Alligator mississippiensis: one gene and its partner. The main gene of each other region encodes a partner of the protein of the gene in region 2 in a complex. Links are inferred from orthologs where the notes say so. Each region holds a gene or a part of one and is shown on either strand. Other genes may lie near its edges.

The links. Proteins that work in one complex are often made in the same cells at the same time.
Region 1: the proteins of XIRP2 (region 2) and NEBL are in contact, whole or in part, in a crystal structure (PDB 4F14), measured with the Homo sapiens proteins. The link is inferred for Alligator mississippiensis from reciprocal best matches to the Homo sapiens genes XIRP2 and NEBL. Residues at the interface, in NP_689594.4 of Homo sapiens: Pro2420, Pro2421, Pro2422, Thr2423, Leu2424, Pro2425, Lys2426, Pro2427; in NP_006384.1 of Homo sapiens: Tyr963, Asp964, Tyr965, Asp969, Asp971, Glu972, Ile987, Asp988, Asp989, Gly990, Trp991, Met1004, Pro1006, Asn1008, Tyr1009.

The regions. Positions count from the first base shown.
Region 1 is NC_081828.1:184,828,691-184,836,501, forward strand, and holds the start of NEBL (nebulette), read right to left. Parts: upstream 3,106-7,811; 5' UTR 2,061-3,105; intron 1,977-2,060; 5' UTR 1,892-1,976; intron 1-1,891. UniProt on the Homo sapiens protein: Binds to actin and plays an important role in the assembly of the Z-disk. May functionally link sarcomeric actin to the desmin intermediate filaments in the heart muscle sarcomeres.
Region 2 is NC_081827.1:215,887,538-215,895,332, reverse strand, and holds the start of XIRP2 (xin actin-binding repeat-containing protein 2), read left to right. Parts: upstream 1-4,792; 5' UTR 4,793-5,394; intron 5,395-7,795.

The DNA.
Region 1 (7,811 bases), on a different chromosome or scaffold from region 2:
AGAAGACAACTAGGTAACTACTTTTATAGCTGTCAGAGAGGAAAGCTATGGATATAAACTTATTTCTGTTTATCCGTATGTGCATGTTTATGTTTCTATTTATGTTAAGTAAATTCCCTATCTTGAAATTGACAGAATACTTACACTGGGCAGACATTAGATAGAACTAAATAGATGTAATGCAGGCACATACTATGAAAGTTTCTATATGCTATCCTGTTTATCCAGCCATGCCAGCAATACTTCTTTACTTAGGCTAGCGGTTCTCAAATTTTTTAAGACATCAGGCACTCCTTGTTAGGCTAAAGGCATCCCTCCAAAAAATGCCAGCTCTTCCACTTGACTCATTTTTTTTTACTATGGAAATATAATAGAGTAATTCTTCTGTTGCAAAGAACTCAGATTGTGTCAGAATGTTTTTGACACTATGGACTCCTATTTGGAATGTCTGGGTTTATCTTATGAATCATGCATAGGAATTTGCACACCTAACAGTTGCTAATATTGCATAACCTCTTCTAGATTCTGGGGTTTTCCTTCATAAATACAGTCCCTTCCATCAAACTGTACCTGTTTGACTTTTGTTTTCTGTTTGACAAGCATTTATCAGAAGCAAACCTGAGAAAAAACTTACCATATTTACCTGAATCCAAGACAAAGTTTTTTACCCCCATTCAACACAGAGAAAGAAACTCCTCATCTTAGATTCAAGTACAGGGGGGGTGGGGGGGGAGGGGGGCAGAATATGCAGCTCTGACTGCTGCTCCCCACAATCACCTGCCCCCTGCAGCCTCTGCTCTTCTCCCCACTGCCCCCTCCTTCCTGCAGCTCAAGCATCCATCTGGGGCCCTGCTCTAGCTCAGGTCAGGGAACAAGGAGCATATCTGCTGCCTCCAGCCCAGCCACAAAGCAGCAGCAGCAGCTCTGTCCCAAACTCCAGAGCCAGAGCTAAAGATGCTAAAACTGCAACAGCTGCTGCATGGCTGGACTGGGGCCAGAGCTACCACAAGCTCTGTGTTCTCCATCCTGGGACAGAGTAGGGACCATCCAGAGCTGGAACTGGAAGGAGAAGTTAAGTAGCTGCAAGGTGGGGAGGGTAAGAGCAGAGTCTGCAGGGAGAAAACACTGGACACTAAGAACTAAGGACACTAAGAACCAAGGACTTTATATGCTTCTATGGCATATTATAATCTACCTGACTCCTGAATTCTTTCCACACATGAAAGGTGAGAATGGCCTTCCTCCCTTTGATAGACCTTGATTTCCCAGTCATCAGTTTTGTTTCTTCTACTAATTGTATGTCTGGTACCCCTGGCAGTTTCTCTCACCCCTTTCTACAACTGTTTTTTTTACTATGCGGTGCTTGGCTTGTTCTAGTCAGGCCTGATGAAGAATTTCTTGCATTTAAAAGCTTGTCTACCTGTATCCTAACCATACATTTGGTCCATTAAAAGATAGATATCACCCTAAGAAATCCTTGTCTCATAATTTTACCAGCTCACCAGCGTGGCTACATCACTCTTAAACTACCATTCAGTTTCTAAGAAACTTCACCCTAATTTTTGCTCTGTCATGGACCTGTACTTATTCTATTTGTATTAGTCTGGTCTAAGCACTTCAGTGCCTGGTTTACTGCTATGGAAATAGTGCTCAAGACTCAGATTTAACATCCCCTTTTCTTCCTTTGTCCACATCATATTAGCTTTTCCTTTTACGTTATACTTTCATTACAACCAAGTAGTATCTTTATCTAGTGTCTGTAGCATGTAGGAGTCAGATCATTATGAGAATGTTCATGAGTGCTGCAGGACTTACTATCAAGACAAAAGAAAATGTTTTTTAAAGATCTCCTTCTAGTGAAGACAGCTATGCACAGAGCATGCTCACTTACCCACTCACTGAAGTTGTTGCACTTTTGTTTCAAAGAGAATCTTTGGGAAGTGTCTGGTACTTGGCAGGGAAAAGTCAAAGAACAACTAAAAATCAAAACATAATATTTAGTAATTTTTTATTTCACTATATTAAAAACCACACAATTTTAGTAAGCAGAAAGAACTTACCTTTCAACCATCTTAATTTTAATTAGATCCTTAATCTAAACTGTTAAACACAAAGTACTCTGTGGAGAAAAAAAATCTGTAAAATAGTTATTCCCTAATTAGTTAAAACTGAATGCAATGCACAATTATCCTTCTACAAAGTACTGCAGTATATCTAAAGAAGTTTAGAATAAGTATAATTGATGCAACTTAACCTTTACCATACATACATTTAATTGCATTGTACCCTTTAAAATGAACAGCTACTAAAAAAGTTCTTTGATTTCAAGTCTACCTGTCATCTATATGTATAGAAAAAAAATGTCACAACACTTTTTAGCAATGAAGAAATGAGAGGTCAAAATCCAGGCATTAACTGTATTCCCCTCCAAAGACAAAGGAAGCTAGAAAATAAAATAATCGCAACCTAAACCAACCCAAACTTTTCTATAATGAAAAGAAATGCTAATGTACTGCATTCAACAGTCAGTCAATATGGTAAGTTAAGCACCAAGGTCCTGGAGGACAACAGATAAACCGTTCTCCCCACACAAAAAATAGAGCAGGACAGGTTCTTGAAATTTTAAAAACATGCATGTTCCACATCAGAACAAACCTTTCACATTGTTTCAGAGAGAGAGACAAACCCCAAATTAAACCAGTCAATGTCCTGGTGATGGCAGATACCTGGAATGTGGTAGACCTACCTTTTTAACTTCCCAAGTGAGTGCCCTATCCTTTAACAGCCAGGTATATAAGTGGGTCAGTTGATCTTTCTTCTGTCCACTTCATACAAATCAATAAAAATTATTGGAGTAGGGTTTAATACTTTCTACATGAGTGCTACACCCACTGTGCTACAGAAGCAGTCAGTTTCTGTCACTCTTCCCCTCTTTCTGGTCTATTTTTTTTTTCTTTAAGTGAAACAGCTCTATCAGGAGACACTGATAGAGACCCTAGACCAGGCTTGTCCATCATATAGCCCACGGGCCACCATGCAGCCCTCCAAGCTGTTTTCTAAGGCCCAAGGTGCTGCAATGGGAAATGAAAGTAAACACTGTACTTCCGTTTTTGGGGGGGGGGGGGGGATGCGACATCGAATCCTGTGAGGTCTTTGAACATGGCTCGCCGGCCCACTGGGTGATAAAAAGTTCATGATCCAGCCCCACATTCAAAAATTTTGAAAACCCTACCCTAGACCAAGCAAGCCAATATAGCCAGGTGGTTAGAACACCCACAGAGGATGTGGGAGACCCAGGTTCAAGTCCCTAGTCTGAATTGAAAACAGAGTAGTTTAGACTAGGGACTTAAACTTATGACTCCTACCGCCAAGATTAAAGTCTGACCCACTAAGTTAACTCTTCTGGGATGGTCTCTCTCTCTCTGTTCATAAATTGCATCCTAGGCAACAAAATCCTATCCTAATGGAAGTTGCAACAAAACTAGTATGCTTCCATGTTAGAAAATTAGCTGTTTCTAATGAAAAATCATTTTGCCTAAAATTTCCCAGCCAATGCTACTCAAAAATATTTTTTCTTACAAGTAAACCAACTTTTATGAAAACATATTTCATCAACTATGTCCTCCTGGTGCTGTGCAACCATCTTGTTTTATGAGTAAAATAAATTAAAAAATACATTGTTTTTAAAGTTGCATACAGAGAAAAGCTCTGGCAGGCAGAATTACCTAAAGGAACACATATTCTAAAAAAATATCTGGTGGCTTTTATAATTATATACTGTAACAATTCTCCAGCTTGTAAAGCCAGCTAAGTCTCCTATATAGAAACATAAATAAACAAACTGGAAATGCCCAAAAGACTTGGGAGGTTAGGGACCATTTTTGGTGTTGAAGGTACTATTTTGCATTAATGATGGTAAGAGAAGATACATGAAAATATTTTGCATCACTAGTATTTCTTGTTCTTAATTCATCTTGCAAGGCATTTTCCTGGATACTTTTTTCAAAATTAAATATTAGAATCTTCTTGTATTCTAGAACTTCATTTTATAACCTATGCATATTTTGAGAATTCTTGTTAAAAACTGTCAAACAATAGATACAAAAACATTAACACATATTTTTGCAAACAGGAATATTAAATTAAAAAGTACAATGCATATAAACCTTTGTACCATAAGCATGTATTATGAAAACCTTTGATGAAAACTGGAGAGGTGAACACACATTGCCTACGTGCTGTGTAAGTGTATGGTATAGACTGTACACCTTTAAGAATATAACACACGCAAGTCAGTCAGCAAATTGAATTTCTTCACCCTCACAAACATCATCCAAAACACCACCAACCTACAGTCATGCCTTTTCTTACACATACTATTTCTCTGACCTGCCATTACTGTAGGATATAGTCACATACATTACTGATTTGTTCCTGAGTCCTTTTCAGTCTTTGTAATTCAGGTGTATCAGTCACAATGCTGAATCCTCTTCCTTTGCTTTCTTCAAAGTCTCTTTTGTATTTGACCTAAAAAACAGAAAACAGATTCATAGGTTGCATTTGCTCTTTTTTTTTGTTTTTCCAATTTAATTCTAGGAATGATTGTTTTTAAGTGAATAAAACACTCAGGGGCCTGGAATTCCACTCAGGTGTGGAATTAGGAACAGAGGCAGCACTGCAAGCTTCCATTTAGAATATATGTTACATGTACATTTTAGTCCTTTGCCTCCATCCAACTTATTAATGGTCCTGTTTTGAATTCCAGGATCTAACTTTGTTAGGAGTGGCTTTGTGGCAAAACTATGAAGATCTTCATAGAAATATAGAAAAGAGATTTGCAGATGGTTATAAATCTACTCAGGCATACTGTATTCTGTAACATGAGGATACTTGCCCAGTTTACTGGATGATGCTGAGCAAGGGCAGAATCTCCCAGTGTTGCGACAGTTGGTAGCACTAGAACCATCTTTATGTATTTACCATATGCCAAGTCTAAGGGTTTCTGTAGTGCTCAGATTGTTTGGCTCTGAAGGTTAAAAGCATTTTTTGATTGAGAATTGTTTTCTCTTCTAGAAAATCTAAATATGTGAGAGTGACTTTCCTATGTTTTTATATGAGAACTTCAGGATGTTGAAATATTTTTTTATTCCACTTAAGGGGGGGGAAAAAAAACCCAAAACCTTTTTATATGGCTTTTCACAATTTACAAAGTTTTAGAAATAATCCCAAAATTAAGATGTTTAAATGATACATATTGGAACTTGTGTATTTATTTTACTTGTGAATATGAAAGTGCTGTGAACAGAGATGTGGGTTTTCCGCAAAATTTTGAATTGGGAAATGTTTCCAGAAAATTTTCAATGCCCTAAATAGAGCGAGATCTGATTTAGCATGTTTAGTTGACTTATATTTAGTAAACAAAACTAAAAAAGTACCCCCATGTTAATTTTATGTCCCAATAGTCACAAGTATTTGAACTGAAATATTTGATTAGAAAAAAAAAAATAAATAGTCAACTTAATGTGCTTTTAATGTTTATATTCAAACAAATTCAAAGCTTTATGTGGAAAGAAATTATTGGAATACTTGTAAAAATGTAAAGAATACACTGACGAAGGGTTTTTGAACCCGAAAGCTTGCTTAATAATTATTTTCCAACTATTTGGGTTGGTCTAATAAAAGATATCAAATTCACCCAAGGAACCTTGTCTGACTATGTCCTTAGACCAACACGGCTACAACCTAAACCCCTGAAAGAATACACTATAGCATGAACTTCCCTTACATTGTTTGTTTAAATTTAAGAAAAAAAAGAGAAGGCACTGAAAACTGTTGACACACTAAATTTAGCACACCCAAAGAACTGTGCATGATATGCCATGGTTGTCCACTCATCTACAGAGTTTAACTCTTGTCCACTGAGGTCACTGCAGCATCTCCAGATTCATTGTCACTATCTGTAGAATCACTTGCACTACTTATTAGTTCCAGTTCAGAATTAGATTGATGCAAATATGATTCAGAACTACTTGAACCACATTCTCTTTTGCTAGAGGATGGTTTTACCAATGAGTCTATGGGCAAGGGCAACTTATCATCACACTGCATCCTCTTCACTAATTGTGCTTGACTGATTCTTCAGAAGCAAGAGATTTTGAGAAATAGAAACAAGCTTAGTGGTGCGTTTATTTATTAGTTTTTCCTCTTTTTTTGTCTTGATTGAGCTGAAAGCCTTCTAGTTCCATTCACAAGAAGCTGCTTTTGGTGGAATGCTTAAGATCCTTGGAGCAATCGTGGACAACAGTCCAGTACTATAGTATCTCTTCCACCTTGTGAAAGGAGGCATTCTCTGTTTCCTGCCAAATTATGTCTTTGCTCCAAAGTTTTTCTTTTGCACGGTACTCGGCAATGTCTGTCATCATGGCTATTTCGTCGATATTGGGGACATTCTCAGCTACTTCTATAATTGTATCAAGAGCAGTAGATAGTTCATCTTCCGATAAATGTTGTCCTCTGTGTTGAGGATCCAAAAAGTTTGCTGCCAGAGGAACTAGATGAAAGCAAAACTCAGATCTCTTAATAAACATTTATTTTACTATTTCTTTTTTGGATAGAGATGAAGAAGGCCAAAGCTTAATTAGATTTTCATTCAGTTATCTGAATATCTCTGGAATATTTGAAAGGCTTGGTGCATTTCCTTCAAGTTTCTTGATAGCCACTGAAACTGGTAGCAGCAAATTGAATACTCCTTGAACTCAAACCCAGAACACATCATTGTCGAGAACCTGCTTCCGAATGTTCATGGGAATACTCTGGGATACTGTGTTATCTATTGAAGCACACTGCAGACAGTTCTTTGTGCGCAGCAGACTATGTAAACACTTTGTATCCAAGCTCCATCTAGTTCCTCCTGGCAATAAAAGTGCACTTTCCTTTCCATGTTTCTTTTTCTGTAATTTCTTCAAAGTCTGATTAGCAGCATGATGATTGTTCAATACCTTCACAATTGCTTTGCCATTTGCCAATATTGTCTTCATTGTATTCACACTTACTATGTCCTTTGCCAAAAAATTCAACCCATGAGCAAGACACCCAAATACTATTAAACGAGGATACTTTGCCTTTAATATTTGCCATGCAGCTTTCATGCTACTCATATTATCAGTTACAAGGGCTTATTATCTATTATGTAATTTAAAAAAATATATTGTTAAGCCTAAGCTACTTTAGGTGCTTAGTGCAAGCAGAAAATCAGGATACAAATATTTTAAATAAATAATAGTCCAGAGGTGCATTAACAACTTTTTAAATTATAATGTTTTAAAACAATATAGATGCTAGTCTATACTGTGTGTTGTTTAGCATATTAATGTGTTTACTTGCATGGGATTCCTGAAATAGACTTTTCTCAGATGATGCTGTTCCACCACTTTGTTGTATTAGCTTTATGTATATGGCTTGTATTCTTTCAGGACAGTTTCTACATGCTATTATATGTTTCTTCATTCTTGTTGATTTGTTGGCATACTTCTGCCCACAATATTTTCATCTACCAACTTTCTTCCTTCCTTCAATGGCTTAAACTTCACTATAATGATGCTACACACTATATTTTTTTCTGATTAGTCATTATGATGACTACTTCAAACCGGAAGCACTAAAAACTAACAGACCTTATGCAAACACTTCCAACTTTCCCAACTCAAGAAAAGAAATGAGACACTGCTCTGTGTGTTTGCTGAACTGAAAGTGAAACACAAATTAATCACAGTTCTAGTTTTGGTTTTGCTTTCACTTGCAGTCTGAGATGA
Region 2 (7,795 bases):
AATAAGGAAGCAGGTTTTTTTCTCAAAGCCATACAGTACCTGTCTTGCAGATCTACATTAAAATGCTATGTCTCACCCTACAATACTGACAGCTATATCAAATCTGAGAGAACACAGCGGTTGCCTGTCACAACAACTTTCTGAGCATCATGCATTGATTATCCAGAACTCATTCATTAGCCCCTACCCTGTCTGAAATTCTCCCTATTTGTGCACTAGCTCTTTTTTCCATTCATGACAGACTGCAAGGCTGCAGGCAAAATCAGAAATAAAATATCTGAACAGCACACTTAACTCACTAACCTATTAACATATTTATTCAACACTAATACACAGGCCCCTTTCACTGACTCCCGATAAAAGAACCCACATTACTTGTATTATAGAGGGTTAGAGTAAAAAAGCTCAGTGTAGGAACAGGCTGAGGTTGTTGCATTCAAAGGCTTATGTTCTATGGGCTTTCAAAAATGCATCGCTTTTTCTTAGCCTCTTAGCTAAGACATAATAAATCTTTTCTTTCTGTAATTTTTATGATTCTGTGATCTAGCATAGCATCAGTTTAATGTCTGATATCTCCTCTCTAGGGGACTGCTGTTGCTCTTTATGGAAATGGAGGAGGACTCCATGATCTAATGGGCCTTTTCCATCTGTAATTACCATAAATCCATATACCATAGACAATGAGGTGTAAAAAAATATTTTTGTTAAATGGTGTTTAGAGCTCTAGGAAATAAATGGCAAAATAATGTTGTCCTCCTCCTCCTTGTGGCTGTTATTCACAAACATTCTGCATTACAGAGAAAGGATCTGTAAGATACTTTATGGATTGGTTAACCAACGTCCAATAGTCAGATACCAGCACTGGTCCAAAGGAAAAAAAAAACAATTAAAAGGCAATGCCATAGGCTTCAATTAAACTTCATTTTAGCTTTAAGGAGGCATGCTCTTCTAATTTACCTCAGTGTAAATACAAATCTAATCTACTGAATGCATGAGAGAGATTCCAGATTTACACAAGCATTATCAAACACAGAATTTGGCCTACGTACCTTTAAATAAACTAATTCCTATCTACCTCTTATCCCAGGGGTGTTAAACGCAACCAGCCCCAGGGGTCAGATGACTGGCATTGGGGGCTGGACTAGACTGCACTCCAAATCTGGAGTGGGTGCCATACATGCTCATGTTTCAGAGCTGTGGAGCAGCTGTCATATGCATCACAGCCCCGGACTGACTGCTGCATGAGGTGTGGCTGCTTCAAGGTTGTGCTGCACATGGTGGCTGTTCCACCCCTTTGGCACATGAGGTGAAGGGGGTGTCATCTGGCACATTTCACATGCTGCCTGTGGGTTACTCCGAGACCCAAGGGCAGCATCAGAGGCCAGATGATAAAGCTCTGCAGGCCACATCTTTCAAACCCCTGTCTTAACCTCTTCTTATTTACCTTCTCTTTGTGCACTGAATGATTTCACCAAGGAATGAGTAAGGGCAGAAACTTACAGATAGTTCTTCATGTGTTTAAGTATTTTTGCCCTCCTAGCTTCCTCACCCCCATTTCCCTTTTCTTTATGTACTGCACTGACATATTAACAGTGTGGATATAAGGGTCTATACCATGATACTGATATTATAATACTATAATCATGAAAATGCATGGGGGGAGGGGGGGAAGCTGAGTACCACTGCAATAGTCCAGTTTTATGCTAGTGCAACTTCCTTGCTCTCAGTGGAATCAGATCTGTATAAAACTGCAGTGACACAGTGGTGAATTAGGCCACAATTTATTTTATGAAGGGGAGGAAAAAAACCCTGCTCATACCCTTACTGAGAATACTTTCTTTTTCACTCAGAACACTGTAGGTTGTTCAAGATTAACAGTTAGCTACATGTTTAAAAAGAGGCAGGAACCTGCATGGAAGAGGTGTGGGAGTAGATCCAAGACAAGGGTCAACAGGCAACAAAAAATTAAGGCTCTTATCCACAGCTTGTGAAAGTTAATTGGAGTCTTTCTGCTGACTTCCTTGGAATTTGAATTGGGCCCTAATTGACCAAGTACCTGGAGTCCTTGATTCATTCAGTGGGCATCACTGTACTAATGTTAATTTTGGCTAGAATCACACTTCAGAAACTGATAAAAACATCCTTTTCTGGATTCTAAAGTTATCACATTTTATGAGAAAGTTTTACTTCCTTGCCCAAAACTTAATGCAAAAAACCTTGTTTGTTGCTAAGTCTAAAAAGCCTGTACCGTATTACGAAGGGAAACAATGACACAATAATCCCACTGCATATAAGACATACTAAATATCAATAACTAATGTATAAAGATAACCTGCCAAACATCATTGTTATAAAACCTCTTTCAAGGCTAGATCCTCTTCCCACAGAAGGTTGTGTGCTTGCCATTGATTGCAACCAATGACTGTGGGATCAGGTCTTACGTTTGGCCTCTGTCTGCCCACACACATCACATCCTTTTCCTAGTCCATTACCAGTAACAAACCTACTACTCAAATTAGTCCCACCGCCTCTAGCAGGAGATGATGTTTCCCAAGATTAATTAATGACCTTGCCCACTTTGGATATTTTCCAATAAATAGGCCAGAACTAGAACATGCTGAACTTCAACTGCAACACTCAGTGTCTTGCAGAAGTCTAGTTCACTGTTCTATAGGGACACAAAGACATACAGAAAAAATATAAAAGCAATAATACTTCTTTCCAGCTCCCATGACAGAGATACTGCTGTTTTAGATTAACCTGCTCTAGCTTGTCAGACAAGGATATTTGGGAAAAAGTGATATCTTTTATTAGACTAACTGAATAGTTGAAAAAACTGTTCTTCACAAGCTTTTGGGCACAAGCACCATTCTTCAGGCATGGGGAGACTGCTGGTGTTTGTCTACTCTCCAGGGCTGAAGAGAAGCTTAAGTCAATATTAAGGCAAAATTCAGGCCTGTGAAAATGCAAATGCATGGCAGGGAAGAACTCAAACTCAGTTCTTGTCACTTGCTCTTAACTTCATTCCTTAAAACATAGGCCAAGTCCTTTTTTTCTTGTTAAAATGAACACATGTAACTGTCATCTTATTGATTGATAGCACAGTGATTTCAGTAAAATGCATCTACCTTGATCATTCATTTTCTTATAAGTTGCAATCTTTTACCAGTTCACAAAGATACTGTTTAGTAACTCATACCCATTTCAGATAGAATCTTTAATCAGGGTTTGTAAGTAACTGATCTCAGTTTGAAATATATTTGGTTACCCTTTACATGTTTGAAGGAGAAAGCAAAGTATAACTAACAGAACTGTAAAATATTCAAGCAACAAGGAAGGATTTAATGTAAGAGAATGAAATAGGTGAAATATAAATAATCACTATTTTCCCTTTCTTCCATTCGGTATGGCAAAAAAAACCCCAGCAACACGTACATATTTTTCAATTACCTTCCCTTAATTACCTTTAATATGCTCCTGGCCAAAGTTACCAGCAAACTAGCTGGGAAACTGAACATTCATGGTGGTCTGTGACTGGCATCTCTAACTGTGCCCACAGCAGAAACATAAAAAGTTCTCTGGAATAAAGATTTAACACACGTTATTGGTGCAGGTATGATGCTATAGTAACAGGAGGAGCAGCCTTGGATCAATTATCTCTTTAACCAGCCTGATAAGGTCACCATCAACAGCTGTGACACTTAATAAGCTGCCTTCCACAACCTTCCTCCATTCGCACAAAACTACTAGAATACAAAAGGGCATCTCACCTTTCTGAATGTGCCTACTAGCCACTGAATGCTACATAGGGACATACAGCAGACAGAATTTACTAGTGAAGAGCCTATTTAAATGTGTGCCCTAGATTGGCATCAAAGTCCCACCAGTATTTTTTACCAGGGAAAGATGCTGAGTCAGGTCCAGAGGAATTTACTGCTACTGGAGTTTTTCAGCCTAGTTTGTGCAAGAAGGACTCGAGCGTGCCTGGTTGTTGTATCTTGTGTCTTTACTGATTAAACTCTTGAGACTATCAGGTTGTTGAGCATTTTCCTCAAGTCGTGCAAAAATACTTCTGTCCTTTGTGTTCAAGACAAGCATAAATTCCAGCTACTGACTAGTTAGGACACATAGAAAGTTGGTCCTTCTGGTTCCCAATCTACATTTGTGGTGGCAGACAGTTCCTGCTGTCTGGCAGGGGAGGCACTCTGTTCATCAATGGAATTCCCTCTGCTGGACAGGGGAGTGCCAATAGCTTAGGGGTCTAGAGGGCTGCACATGCCCCAGCCCTGGTGGCCAGACAATTCTAGCTAGCTGTGTGCAGCCCATTATTTAGGCTAGTACAGCTCCAACTGTGAAAGGTCTGCTGCATTTCCAGTTTCTTGATAGCTGTGGCAGGTAGACATGTTGAGTCCAAGCCCTGACTCTAAAGTACAGGGCAGTGGAGGGGGGTCTCCATTTGCAGCAGGTTCACTGCAATGAAAACGCTGCTCTTACATCACTTCAAAGTGGGTGCATTTACAGTAAATTTTTCCAGGCCAGGCAAGGTTGGAAGTGCTCCAACCCTTGAGACTGGGATGCTATTTGTTTCAACCACAGGGGTTATTTATGCTGCTCTTCCCAGCTCTGAACAATAAGGGGGCTTCCACATAACAGCCTGTGATGCCTGTCAGGAAATGAGAGGGGACGGGCTCTTTCCTGCCCCTGTTTCCTGCAGCCCGGGCTTTTCTTTCCCTTGGGAGGCTGCTTATGTCAGGAGCGCGCTGACTCGGCCCTCGGCCCCTCTGCTGAACAAGGGGCCAAGTGTGCCCCGGCCTGAGCTGCCCTCGAGGGCCCCACCGCGCCCGGCGCCCGGGGCTTGCAGGATGCCTTCGCGGGGGCGGGCGGGGGGCTGTTCCCGCGCCGGTGCCGCATGCCCTGACCCCGCCGCGTGTCGCTTTGCAGGGCACGCTGGAGCTGGCCAAGTTCCCGATCCAGAAGGGCTCCCTCGAGCTCCTCCGGCAGCGGTGGGAGTCCAGCGATGCGCTGAAGGGCAGCCCCCGGGGGCCCTACGGCTCCGCCGGCGCCCGCCGCGGCAGGCGCTCGCAAGCCCCCGAGGGAAGGCGAGCTCGCCCGGCCCCGGCCCCGGCCCCGGCCCTGCCGCGGCCCCCGCAGGGGGAGGAGAGCAGCGGGGCGGCGGCGGGCCGCGGCCCGGACGGGCGAGCTCCCAGCCTGCCGCCGGATAAGAGCAGCCGCGGAGGCAGCGCCGCACCCAGCGCCGGGGCGGAGGTGGCCAAGGAGGACCCCCCCGGCGGGCGCCGCAGGATCGAGCGCTTCCACATCCCCCTGGATGACCTCAGGAGCCGGTTCGAGGGCGGAGCGGCCCCGGCCCCGGCCCCGGCCCCGGCCGGCAGGAAGGTAAGAGCCGGGCGAGACGCGCCGCACCGAGCCGAGCCCGCGAGCGGCCCCAGTCCCCGCGCCTCGGCACCGCGCGGGAAGGGGGCGCCCGGGAGGGGCAGGCTGCTCGGGCGTGCCAGCTCCCAGCGGGAGGCAGCGGCCCCAGAAGTGCCGCGGGGCGCGGGGGACCCTGGTGTTTCTAGCCCTCTCACTGAACAGCGCCTCTCTGAGGGGCCGGGGCGAATGGGGGCTTCAGAGCAGAGAGCTGGGTCGTCCAGGCAGGGGCCCGCCTCCGCCCTGCCCCGAGACCAGGCTGGACCTGGGCGACTTCAGGAGCACCTGCATGAGGTCTGTGAGGTGGCTGAGAGGATCGTGTTAGCTTAGCAAGGCGGGTCACCCACTCGCTAGTCCGAGCCGTCTGGGGGTCGACTTGAATCTTGAACGTGACTGAACAACTTTGGAGTCCCACTTTTTACCCACCACAGCTGACACGCCTAAAGACACCCTTTCTAACCCTCCGAGTAATTTATGGTGGGTTTTTTTGCAATGGTGGAAGATGTTACAGCAATGAAAACTCAGTTCATTTAAACTTCTGTTCTGTACCTAGCTTTCCTCCATAGACTGCAAGGGGCTTTACAAAGGAGGCAGTTTGCCGTAATTTTAGTGATGGGGAAACTGAGGCAGGGACCAGTTAAATGATTTGGCAGAGACTATCAACAAATTAGGAGTCTGGAATACAGAAATGGAAAAAAGCTTTTTCAACCAGAACACCTGAAGCCGAGGAGAAGGGAATGTGTTCTGCCCGTATTAAAGTCGATGACTTAAAATAAAGAAAAGCAAAAAGATTGGGTCTAGTTTGGAAAGTTAGCAAACCCATACCTGTTGTAGGATGGTGGTTACCATCACTACCAACATGAAGTAAAGGTCACTTTACAGAACTACTGGTATTGATTCAAGTACTCCAGCACAGGGCAAGTGTGTATCAGAGTTTCCATTCCTTACAGCTTTTGTGTGTAACGTACAGGTTCACAAATACACATTTCAAAATGTTAAGGAGAAAAACTTGAAAAATTAAGGTATCTTATCTATCTCCTTGGTACATGGTATACTACTTACAAGTAAAATTAATGTTGGACAAAGCCTGGGCAATCAGACTTTGAGCTAATGGATACAGGTGTTTGGAGCTGAAATCCACAACTGCTACCTGAGCCAATATGAAGCGTTGGTGAAGTATACACTGCAGTTCTCCTGCACAACCATTATATTAGTATGATGGTCCTGAAATCACATAGTCACTGACTCCACTTGTACTTCAGTGCCATCTTTCCTACCAGAAACTGAGAGGACTGCTTTGAAACTTTTATACATATAATTTTACATAGTGGAGGACTGGGCAGACTCTGCCCAGCCCGTTTCCCCTGTTGGATTTAGTTTTATTCAAACAGAACAATAAAAAGACTTTGCTATACTGCGTATAACACCAATTCTATTCTGAAACATAAACATAAGCATTCCCTGTTTTGTTACGAAAATACTTGTACAGTTGAAATCAGTGGAAGTCCTTTTGAACTCCCTTTTGGAAGTCCTTCCAACTTTTTGTCTGTGAAAGCATCCGAGTCCTTCAGTTATCTTGGAATGGAAAGGATCGGAAGTGCCTTGTTATCCCTGTGGATAGTCAAGGAGGGGAAAGATGGCTAAGACAGCACATTTCTCTCTCATTCTGCAGCCACTATGTGAAGTGGCTTCACTTGAAGAGAAAAGCATGGCCAAAGAGAATGGTAGTCAGACAAGGTGTTAGCATGTTCCTAGGTCCCTAGCTAAATGGGATTTACAATTATACCCTGAGCAACAAATTACTCCATGACTTTCAGAGACCATGAAGAGATTGACAGGACCATAGGTGTACCAGTGACCATAAGTCACACAACCATTATTAGGAAAGCAGATAGGCATTAGGCAGCATTAGAGGGGACACAAGTATGCTTTGAAGTCTACTTGCTCTTCCCTATTTGTTTCCTTCCATGATCACAAGCTGAAGTAAGACGTTGTGGCTTAGTTCTGCATGAACTCTGCATCCTGGTGCCATGTTTTTTCTTAATAAGTTGATACTGATTAAGAGCCAGTGGACTTGGCCCTTAGTAAGCCCGTTTCTTTTTAAGGGAATTCAGACCACTTTCAAAGCATACTGTAATATTCTTACAGACTTGCCCACCAATTGATACAATAATACAAGACAGACCCATGTACATGTAGGTCCCAAGAAGATTCTGATTAACCAGGAAAAGAAGCAGCACAGGACATTTGCAACAGTTTCTCAGAACCTTTCCAAGCGTATGCAATTTACCTGGGACCACTGTATTGTAATATTATGCTTAATGCTGAGATAGCTAGATCCATCTGTGCCTGAATATTTAGAGCCATG